Linked DNA regions of Callithrix jacchus. The protein of the gene in region 1 interacts with the protein of each later gene in a pairwise test. Links are inferred from orthologs where the notes say so. Each region holds a gene or a part of one and is shown on either strand. Other genes may lie near its edges.

Region 1 (5,595 bases):
ACTGGACTTCATTGGAAGACAGTGAGCCTCTCTCCTGCCTTGGACTACTGTTTAAAGTTATAGCAGTACCATTCTTGGTGCTTGCGTTGTGCAATCATAGTTGATACACTCTTGTTTTTGTGCATTTGTGGCTTTTTGTCACTCTATCTAGATTATTACAGCATATAGAGACAAAAAGTAAGTTGTTATAACCTGTTGCCCTCAGTCCAAATTCTGGTTTATCTAACCAGTTATGTGCAACTAGAGGGAGCTGGGTCAGCTGAACAAATAAAAAGTTTAGGGAGGTTTAAATGATGTTCTTGAAGTGTTACATAGTTTGAATGCAATAACTTATTGATATCCTAGATATTTTCTTCCCATGATTAAGTATTTTCCAGATGAATCAAGTGTTTATCATTAGCTGCAACTTGGAGTTTGTTAAGATTTTAAAAATAAATTTTCTAAGTAGGGTGTCATATGTAAAAGTAGTTTGATTCAGAGTCTCTACAGTGAACTCTCTCTTCATGATTCCTACTTGAAGACAAATAAATGAGATCTATTTAATGCCCTTGGAAGACTATCTGGTGCAGATCATCGAGCCTACAGCCAGCAAATGCTGAGCTGGGATCACTAATGCAAGTTGTGTCTGTGGAGTTGTGCCATCGGAGGGCTTTCTGCAACTCTTAAGGCATTATGTAATGAGTGATTACCTGTAAAAATAAGCCATAAAGAGCATTTTCATCTGATTTCATTCAAGTTATTTCTCGTGGATATTGTAGGCAGGTTTTTGCATTTCATGGCTGAGGATTTTACTGGGTGAGCGAATGATAGTAAGTTTGGGAGTTGTTTTGTGGTAACATAGTTGTAATGTAGATGTGCATTCAGAAGTCTTACTATCTTCCTACTGTTTCAGAAAACGAAAACAAATCCTCCTTTCATTCTGAGATGAGAACCATAGGTATGATCAGTTGAAAACATTCATCTTCCTGGAGGATGCTGCTGAGTAAAGCTCCCAAAACCCTTTAGGTGCTTTTTTTTTCTTTTTCCAGACCAAGGCTTCAGTTGTGTTCTTATTTATGCCTAAAGGCTGTCTCCTGTCTGCAGTAGAGCAGATGGTCGTGATTTATGTGTCATTTAGGGTCCATGGTTTAAACTGTGTGATTCTGAGAGTGGGTAGGGTTATTTGGCTGAGTGAGAGTGTCCTCAGTGGAAACAGTGCATATGGGGGGAGGGTCATGAGTTGGAGGCTCTTTAGAGACATGGGTTACAGTCAAGGAGATAGAAATCAGAGTTCAGAAAATGTTAGCCTCTTAACCATTCTCTTTTCCCATGGCAGGTGATGGAGTAAAAGAAATATATTCAGTGTGATGTGAAGGTTGATTCGAATGATTGATTCTTGAGAAAGCAGGCATTTCCAAACCAGCAGGTTGTAAAATACCTCCTCCTGTGGTCATGACAGCTCTGTGTTCTGAGTCGCTAGCTATGTTTCATTTGCTTGCAGTGTTTGTGTCTGGTGAGCACTAGGTTCTCATGGCCTCCTGTCTCATACGGGGCTGAACCTTGTTTTCTTGGTGGTTCATATCTTATGGGAGACAGAAAACATGAGACTTGCTCTTGCGAGATGATCTTGAGGCTGCTGCAGAATCATGGTCTTTATGATGAACTCTACTGTGCTGTGAATTCACCCATTGGGGTAACAACTCATTAGTGAGTTGTGAGATGAATTCAGTGGGTCATGGCAAGCATTAAAAATAAAGTATAATAGAAAATGTCAAGGTGCATTATCAAGTGACGAGGATTAATATTATTTCATGAAATGTGAACTTTTACTAGGTAATGCTGTGGAATTTAGTCTTACTGAGATTTGCATAAAAATATTAAAAAACATCAGTTTAACTTACTTCAAGTTGAATGACAGTTCAGTTGAATCCCACAAAAGTATTTTGCACATAATAATAGTGAGTATTTTTTGGAACACTTATGATATATCAGTAATTATTTTAAACATTTCCTTTATTCATTTCACGTTTACATGTATTTATCCTCACAATAACCCTGTTGAGGGTATAGACACTTTAGAGAAACTTAGAAGCCCCAGTACTTGCTTTTTGGGTACACTCAGTCTCGTGTGGGAGGCATAAGACTGGACAGTGGAGAAGTGTGGCGCAGTGGCTGTTCTGTAACCAGGAAGGGGGCAGAGGCAGCCATCAGGCACCTGATGGGTTCTGCATGGAGTCCCCTTTGAAAATCAGATCAGTTACTTTGGAGGAACATGTATTATTTGAAGAGTAACAGTTTTATGAAAAATTATGTGAGCTTCAGCTGTTTTAGAAAATGGGGCATACTGAATCTGCAGACGAAATGCAGGTTTTCAAGGCAGGTCATATCTTTACTATAAAAACCAAATTTGTACAAACTTGGCATTGTATTGTTGGGTGGGGAGTTCACATAAATTGGGCCACACTAAGGGTCTAGAAGTTTATTCTTTTGAATTTGCTTCTGCTGTAATTTTTGTTTATTTGTTCTATGTTCCTAGGTGTGCCTTCTTCTTCCTGCTCCTCCTCCTCACTGGAAAACATGCTTTTGTTTAACAGTCCTTCTGTGGGCCCTGATGCTCCCAAGATAGAGGACCTGAAGTGGCATTCTGCATTCTTCAGAAAACAAATGGGTACTTCCTTGGTTCATTCACTGAAAAAGCCCCATAAGCGAGATCCTTTGCAGAATAGCACTGGAAGTGAAGGCAAAACCCTGCTGAAGCAGCCAGACCTGTGTGGTAGAAGGGAGGGGATGGTGGTCCCAGAAAACTTTCTGGGTATTGAAAAGACCTTTGCAGAAGCACGTCTCATATCAGCACAACAGAAAAATGGTGTGGTGATGCCAGACCACGGGAAAAGAAGAGACAATCGTTTTCATTGTGATCTCATTAAAGGAGACTTAAAGGACAAATCTTTTAAACAGAGTCACAAGCCTCTCAGGTCCACAGATGTGTCCCAGAGGCACCTGGACAACACAAGAGCTGCCACCTCCCCTGGAGTGGGGCAGTCAGCACCTGGCACAAGGAAGGAGATCGTGCCCAAGTGCAATGGCTCCCTAATCAAAGTAAACTATAATCAGACCACAGTCAAAGTGCCTACAACACCTGCCAGCCCAGTGAAAAACTGGGGAGGATTCCGGATTCCAAAGAAGGGGGAACGGCAGCAGCAGGGAGAGGCCCATGAGGGGGCCTGCCACCAGCACTCAGACTACCCATATTTGGGCTTAGGCCGAGTTCCAGCCAAGGAAAGGGCAAAAAGCAAATTAAAATCTGACAATGAGAATGACGGGTATGTCCCCGATGTGGAAATGAGTGACTCAGAGAGTGAGGCATCAGAAAAGAAATGTATACACACCAGCAGCACTATCAGCAGGAGGACAGACATTATCAGGAGAAGCATCTTGGCTTCTTGATGCAACAGAGATGATGTGGAAGCCCTTTGGGCTTGTCATTGGGTGTGCTAGAGGAGAGCTCTGATGGGGGGAGAAGCAGAAACCCATTAATCCTGATCTACACAAACACATTTACTTGCAATTCAGATTAAATTTTTTTTCCAGAGTCATTTTAAAATCATTTTTGTGAGAAGTTTGTGTTATTTGCAACTTGTTGAGGAAACAGAAGAGTAGATTGTAACCATACAACACTGCTAAGACTAGAACCCGAACTAAACACTAAAATAAGAATGAAATAAATTTTAAAGAGGGCAAGGCTTAAATAAGCCTCCTGAATTTTTACAGCCCTCTGCATTCTTCCCAAAGCACAAACTCGTGGTTACCTGAATACAGGGAACCAGATACGGTTCTTGAGAAACCTTCATGGTACCATTCACAGCCCATAAAGCTTATTTTCTAGGACTGTGGTAGATCTTGAAATCATATTTATATTTGGCCATCAAGGCTATTTTTGTTACATTATAGTATACAGGCAGCAGCTCTGAAGCTTCAGTAACACTAGGGAATTTATGTGTAAATATAGCAGTCAGGGAAGAGAGTTTTAAAAAAGGTCATTATTGGCCGGGCGCGGTGGCTCAAGCCTGTAATCCCAGCACTTTGGGAGGCCGAGGCGGGTGGATCACGAGGTCAAGACCGTCCTGGTCAACATGGTGAAACCCCGTCTCTACCAAAAATACAAAAACTTAGCTGGGCATGGTGGTGCGTGCCTGTAATCCCAGCTACTCGGGAGGCTGAGGCAGGAGAATTGCCTGAACCCAGGAGGCGGAGGTTGCGGTGAGCCGAGATCGCGCCATTGCACTCCAGCCTGGGTAACAAGAGGGAAACTCCGTCTCAAAAAAAAAAAAAAAAAAAGGTCATTATTGGAGGAGCTGAGGGGACAGGGTGGAGCTGCTGCAATGTGGAGATTTAGGGCAAATGTAGCAAGGTCCTGCTGCTTGAAGCCTGTGAGTAGGTTGTGGATATGGGACTGGTAGAGAGTGAGACTGTTAGGAAAGTTGTATCTATGAATAAGGGCAGTTGAAGTACAATTTTTATCAGTCTACTTGACCTTTCTCTTCCCTAGCCACTGGCTATGGAGCCAGCTTGGGATTTCCCTGGCCATTGCCAATACCTGGCCATCTGGCTTCCACTAGTATAACAGCTACTCAAGTTCAAGTGAAGAACTTCCAGACTCTGGTGACTCTTACTTCCCAGAGCCAACCACTAGTGCATATACTGGGGAATCCGGGCTTCCAACATGAACGGATTCCTTAAGAAAAAGGAAAAAAAAAAAAAGAAAAAAAAAAAAAAAAAGAAAAGAGAAAAGCGAAATAGGTTATATTTTAAAAACAATAGAAAGGCAATAAGTTGCGATAAGCTCTTACTATTGACCAAGGTTATACAGGAAAGAGATTGAAGTGTACCCTTGAATAGGTTTTCTGTAGTCAGAGTTCTAAACTCTAATTCGTAACTTGGACTTTCTAATTGCAAATGGCAATAACTAGTAAGTTATCAGCAATAATAAATTTAGCATTAAATTTGAGTACAATGTTTTGTTTTTGCACTCACTGTAGTGCATATGTATTAAGACAGTGGATAGTGTTTAGGTCCTGTTAATTTTTTTTGGAATTCAATGTGGTTGTGAATCAAACTTAAGGAAGTAAAGTTTAAATAGCAATGAGATTTAGAATTATGGGCATTCGGAGCAAGCCCGACTTCCCCAAAATTACTCCTTAGTTTGTTAATACCAATATTCAGATTCCTGATTCATTTATACATCTGTTTCCATATGGCAGGGACATTATGATACTTAATGAATAATGCTTTGAGTTCTGTAGTTAACTTTCAAGTCTTCCAGATGATTGTCAACAACAAAAAAGGCTTATTGAAATCCATCTTGCTATGCAAGTTTTATCGGATGATCAAATAGTAGATCTGATGCATCCCCATTGTATGTATAACATTTTCAAACCAAGTCTTAACTTTTCAAATACATTTTAGTAGCTAATTCAGGGGAGGGGAAAGAATGATGCAGGTTTTTAGATTGACTATTTTTGAGCTATGGGGCTCATTTTGAAAGACTGCTGTCCAGATCAGCTTGTTGCTACAGATAATAGAAGGTTTTATGAATCCAAGTTGTATATTCACTTG
Region 2 (5,485 bases), on another chromosome or scaffold:
CTATGAAAGATAAAAATGTTAGCCTGCCATGGTGCCATGCTCCTGCAGGAGGCTGAGGCAGGAGAATCACTTGAGCCCAGGAGTTCGAGGCTGCAGTGAGCTGTAATTGCACCACTGCACTCCAGCCTGGGCAATAGAGTGAGACCCTCTCAAAAAAAATTTTTTTTTTTTATAAATAAAATAGATTAAAGGGGCCCTTCTGTTGTAATTAGGGAGCTGGAGGTCATGCCAACCCTTTTCTACCTGTCCCTAACTCTTCCTCAAAGCAGCCTCTCCATTTTGACTTGTTCCCTCAAGTACATTGATTAAGCACCTTCTTGTGCTGAGAACTGTGGCACCACAGAAGCAGCAGTGGGGAAGACGGGCTCACAGTGAGTTAGGGAGAGAGTTATAACAGCCAGCAGAGGGCACAGTGAGCATGGACATGCAGCCTGCATGTGAGCTTGACTCATGATGGGCTTCTCAGAGGAGGGGTGTTTTACGTTGGGTATTGAAGGGCGAGTAGGAGTTCACCAAGGGAGTTCGTGGAAAAGGGGACACCCCTGGTGAAGGGAATAGCATGGGTAAAGGCACGAAGCTGAGAAGCCACAGTGTGATTCAGGAAGTGCCAGACCAGGTTATGTGGGATGGGGAATGGGCAGAGGCCTTTAGTGCTTAGCCTAGGGCAGTGGGGAGCCATAGAGGAGTTTAGAGCAGAAGAGGAATGTGGTCAGTGGGGCAGTGAGCATGGGTTGGGGGCACAGGGGCCAGACCCCCTCACATATCCCTATCACCTACAGACCCCAAAGCCCAAGAGGAAGGTGGAGATCTGGGAGCAGAGCATTGGCAGCCTGGGCAGCCGGCCCCCGCTGTCGGGGCTGGTCGTGGTGAAGAAGGCAAAGGCCCACCCGGACCGCAGCAACGGGCAGCCCCAGGCGGCCCCAGCCCCAGGTAAGGTCACCGAGTTTCCAGAGCCGGGCGCGGTTTCTATCGTGGCCTCTAGGTGGCGGCAGCGCTCCCAGTGCAATTAGGGAGCCTCCATTGGGTAGGTGGGGGGCAGCATCTGAGCCCCACAGGACCAGTTAGTGGTGAGTAGAGAAGTCAGGCGGCTTCTTTTTGTCTTTTATTTACAAAAGGAGCCAATGCTTGCTTTTAAAGCCCAAGTCACGTGGGAGTGTGCAAAGTAAATGTCAAATCCGTGCTTCCCTATGCGGCCTTCACTGTCCGCAGATGCCAGGCTGCCCCGTCCCCTTCCCCGGCTGTCTCTACAGCATGCGTGGCTCCGCTGTCACACACCTGGTGCTCTGCAGGGGTGAGAGCCCCACACCCCCAGCCCCGGGTAGATGGAGGATTGGGGTGCGGTCAGCATTGCCAGAATTCGGAGTGGAGCAGCCCGGGAACAGATCCCTGCAATTTCCCTTGGCTTATCCTATGGCCCTGGCCAAGGACTTCCCCCCAGCAGGGTCTCAGTGTCCTGTCCTGTAAAATGCAGCTAAGGGGACCCACCTCACGTAGATGGGATCAGTCCCCAGGTTTGGGTTGATTCTGTGAGTGCTGGCAGTTGAGTAGGCCCTGGCACACGGCGAGCCTTGGAGACGCTCGAGACATTTTTGTCAGCACTGATAAAAATTACGCCATTTGGCTGGGCACGGGTCTCACACCTGTAATCCAAACGCTGGGAGGCCGAGGCGGGCGCGTCACTTAAGGCCAGGAGTTGAAGACCAGCCTGGCCAACATGGTGAAACCCTGTCTCTAAAAAATACAAAAATTAGCCGGGCACGATGTCAGATGCCTATAATCCCAGCTACTTGGGAGGCTGAAGCAGGCGAATTACTTGAACCCGGGAGGTGGAGGTTGCAGTGACCCAAGATTGCGCCACTGCATTCCAGCCTGGGCGACAGAGTGAGACTCCATCTCAGAAAAAAAATTGTCCTGGCACAGTGGCTCACGCCTGTAATCCCAGCACTGTGGGAGGCTCAGGTGGGCGGATCACCTGAGATCGGGAGTTCAAGACCAGCCTGGCCAACATGGTGAAACCCCATCTCTATTAAAAATACAAAAACCAGCCGGGCACTGTGGCTCACGCCTGTAATCCCAGCACTTTGGGAGGCTGAGGCGGGTGGATCACGAGGTCAAGAGATCGAGACCATCCTGGTCAACAAGGTGAAACCCCGTCTCTACTGCTTTGTAAAAATACAAAAATTAGCTGGGCATGGTGGTGCACGCCTGTAGTCCCAGCTACTTGGGAGGCCGAGGCAGGAGAATTGCTTGAACCCAGGAGGCGGAGGTTGTGGTGAGCCGAGATCACGCCATTGCACTCCAGTCTGGGTACCAACAGAGAAACTCTGTCTCAAAAAAAGAAAATCAGCCAGGTGCAGTGGCATGTGCCTGTAATCCCAGCTACATGGGAGGCTGAGACGGAAGAATCACTTCAGCCCCAGAGGCGGAGGTTGCATTAACCAAGATGACAGCATTGCACTCCAGACTGGGTGACAGAGCAAGACTCCATCTCCAAAAAAAAATTATTTGTAGGGTCCAGCCCTACAGGGTCCTGTGAGCCCCTCTCTGCTGGTGTGAAGATGAGGAACTGTGGAAATAAAACCCACAAGACACCAAGAAAGAGAAAAGAGAGTTTGGGCCCAGGGGTCCACTTCCAGCCAAAGCGCGGAGGCCAGCAGTCACCCCAAGTGCCTGGACGCTCTTGAGTACAAGCAGTGGGCAGGGAAGGTAGGCTGAGGGAGTGGTGATCGGTGATAGGGTCGGATAAATCACATGTCTTGGAGATAAGCGTCCGGGACTTTCAAGGAGCCGAGGCAAGGAGATTTTAGACCAGCGGGCGCTTTCCCGGCTCTGGGGCTCCCGCACAGCCGAGGCGCCCTCCAGCAGCCTTACGCGGCGTGACAGAGGCTTGGAGCATCTTGCCCTGGGGTCACTTTGTTCACGATGTCACCTCAGTTCCGTGCTTCATAACCCAATAATCATGAGTAAAATAAGGGTTATGCTGAGTATATATCTTTATAAGTGAGTGACCAGAGGATTATATATGATTATAGAAAGGATTTACTATGGGCCTACATTTCTAATTCTTTTCTAAGTTAGTATTTAGATGGGAACAGGCTGAGGCTTCACATCCTTGCCATGGCACCTGCAGTGTCCCCCCCACAATTATTCCTTTTGTCAGAGGAAGAGACTGCAGGTCAGAGTGGCTTTCACAGCCGGGTGCAGAATCCGTCCCTGTTAATTGCCTTAGTGGGATTTTTCCTGGGGCGGTTAGGTCCTCGGTGACTGCACCTTGAACTTGGCTCCATTTCCAGTTTTTGCAGCGCGTGCTGCCTGCCTCGGCAGGGGCTTCCATGGGTCCTCGCTCAGAAGTGAGCTGTCGAGTCCAGAGTGTGCCGATGTGACTGCGACAGGTCCCATCAGGTGCCATCCAGAAAGGCCAGGCCATTCGCATGCCATCACCCTTGGGCCTTGCAAACCCGCGGAGGTAGCCGGCTCCGTGCTCCAGGCCTTGTCCCTGGCCCGTCCAGTCTGGAGCTGAGGTGGGCTAACTCTCACTCTCCCCCCAGGACCCCCACAGAGCAGGAAGGAGGCCGACCCTGCGCCCCCGACGCCCGGCGCGTCCTCCCTGAGCCAGCTGGGCGCATACCTGGACAGTGACGACAGCAACGGTAGCAACTGAGCCGTCCTAGGACCCCCACACCGGGTCAGGCTACAAGACCAGCTTCCGCCACATCGAGGCCGGCGTTGCTGGTGGTCGGGGCAGGAGGCTTGGGCGTGACCAGAGCCCCAAAGGACAAGCGCCAGCGTGCTCCAAGCGCATAGGGCCAACAAGGGCGTCAGCCCCAGGATGTCACTCTTCTCTGCCCTCACCAGCCTCTCAACACCTCGGGGACCCCTGCTCCTCCTGCCCCACCCGTCCCTACCTGTCACTGTGCTCAGGGCTGCGACATCCCTGGAATCTCAGCTTCCATCTCTACTTCAGGGTGGCGGCATTTGGAGGATGGGGTGAACCTGCCTCTAGACGGCCACATGTCTTCCTTCCACAAACTGTCAGAACCAATAAAAGGAAACCTGCCAGCCAGCCCGGGCCGCCTCTCTGTCCTGGAGTCTGATGAGAAAGCCCAGGACAAGGTCTCTGTTAGCGTCATTCCAGGGTTGGTCCACAGAGGCTTGTTTATTTTCTTTGAGACAGAGCCTCGCTCTGTCACCCAGGCAGGAGTGCAGTGGTGCGATCTCAGCTCACTGCAACCTCCACCTCCTGGATTCAAGGGATTCTCCTGCCTCAGCCTCCCAAGTAGCTGGGATTACAGGCACCTGCCACCACGCCCAGCTAATTTTTATATTTTTAGTAGAGATGGGATTTCACTGTTTTGACCAGGATGATCTTGAACTCCTGGCCTCATGATCCGCCCACCTCAGCCTCCTAAAGTGCTGGGATTACAGGCATGAGCCACCATGCCTGGCTCACAGAGGCTTGTTTTTTTTTTTTTTTTTTTTGAGACAGGATCTCACTTCTGGACTCAGGTGATCCTCCCACCTCAGCCTCGAGATTATCTCGGACCTCAGGTGTGTGCCATCATTCCTGGGTAACTTTTTGTATATTTAAGAGAGACTGAGTTTTGCCATGTTGCCCAGGGGACCTTGAATTCATGGGCTCTGGCAGTCCTCCTGCCTCAGCTTCACAAAGTGCTGGGGTCACAGGCATGAGCCACTGCGCCTGACCCAGAGTTTTAGACTTAATTGTCACCTGAGTGTGCCGAGGCTTACAGTCTGGGCTTTGTTCTTTTCTCTTTTTTTTTTCTTTTTTTCTGAGACGGAGTTTCGCTCTCGTTACCCAGGCTGGAGTGCAATGGCGCCATCTCGGCTCACCGCAACCTCCGCCTCCTGGGTTCAAGCAATTCTCCCGCCTCCGCCTCCTGGGTTCAAGCAATTCTCCCGCCTCCGCCTCCTGAGTAGCTGGGATTACAGGCACGTGCCACCATGCCCAGCTAATTTTTTGTATTTTTAGTAGAGACGGGGTTTCACCATGTTGACCAGGATGGTCTTGATCTCTTGACGTGATCCACCCGCCTCGGCTTCCCAAAGTGCTGGGATTACAGGCGTGAGCCACCGCGCCCAGCCCTCTTCTTTTTTTTAAATTTATTTCTTTAAAAAAAAAAAAATTGAGTCCCTCCATGGCGGCTCACACCTGTGATTGCGGCACTTTGGGAGGCCCAGGCGGGCGGATCACAAGGTCAGGAGTTTGAGACCAGCCTGGCCAACACGGTGAAACCCTGTCTCTACTAAAATACAAAAATTAGCCAGGCGTCATGGTGTCCACCTGTAATCCCAGCTGCTCGGGAGGCTGAGGCAGGAGAATTGCTTGAACCCGGGAAACTGAGGCTGCAGGGAGCCAAGGTCACGCCACTGCACTCCAGCCTGGGTGACAGAGCAAGACTCCATCTCAAGAAAAAACACCAATTGAGAAACAGGGTCTGCCCATGTCGCCCAGTCTGGACTCGAT

The links. The genes of interacting proteins can lie anywhere in the genome.
Region 2: the proteins of JADE1 (region 1) and YJU2 interact in a two-hybrid assay, tested with the Homo sapiens proteins (2 studies listed by BioGRID and IntAct). The two-hybrid records come from large-scale screens. The link is inferred for Callithrix jacchus from reciprocal best matches to the Homo sapiens genes JADE1 and YJU2.

The regions. Positions count from the first base shown.
Region 1 is NC_133504.1:68,404,275-68,409,869, reverse strand, and holds the end of JADE1 (protein Jade-1), read left to right. Parts: intron 1-892; coding exon of another isoform or gene 893-951; exon of another isoform or gene 952-1,011; intron 1,012-1,315; exon of another isoform or gene 1,316-1,492; intron 1,493-2,515; coding exon 2,516-3,426; 3' UTR 3,427-4,147; downstream 4,148-5,595.
Region 2 is NC_133523.1:4,012,388-4,017,872, forward strand, and holds the end of YJU2 (splicing factor YJU2), read left to right. Parts: intron 1-779; coding exon 780-930; intron 931-3,548; coding exon 3,549-3,661; 3' UTR 3,662-4,063; downstream 4,064-5,485.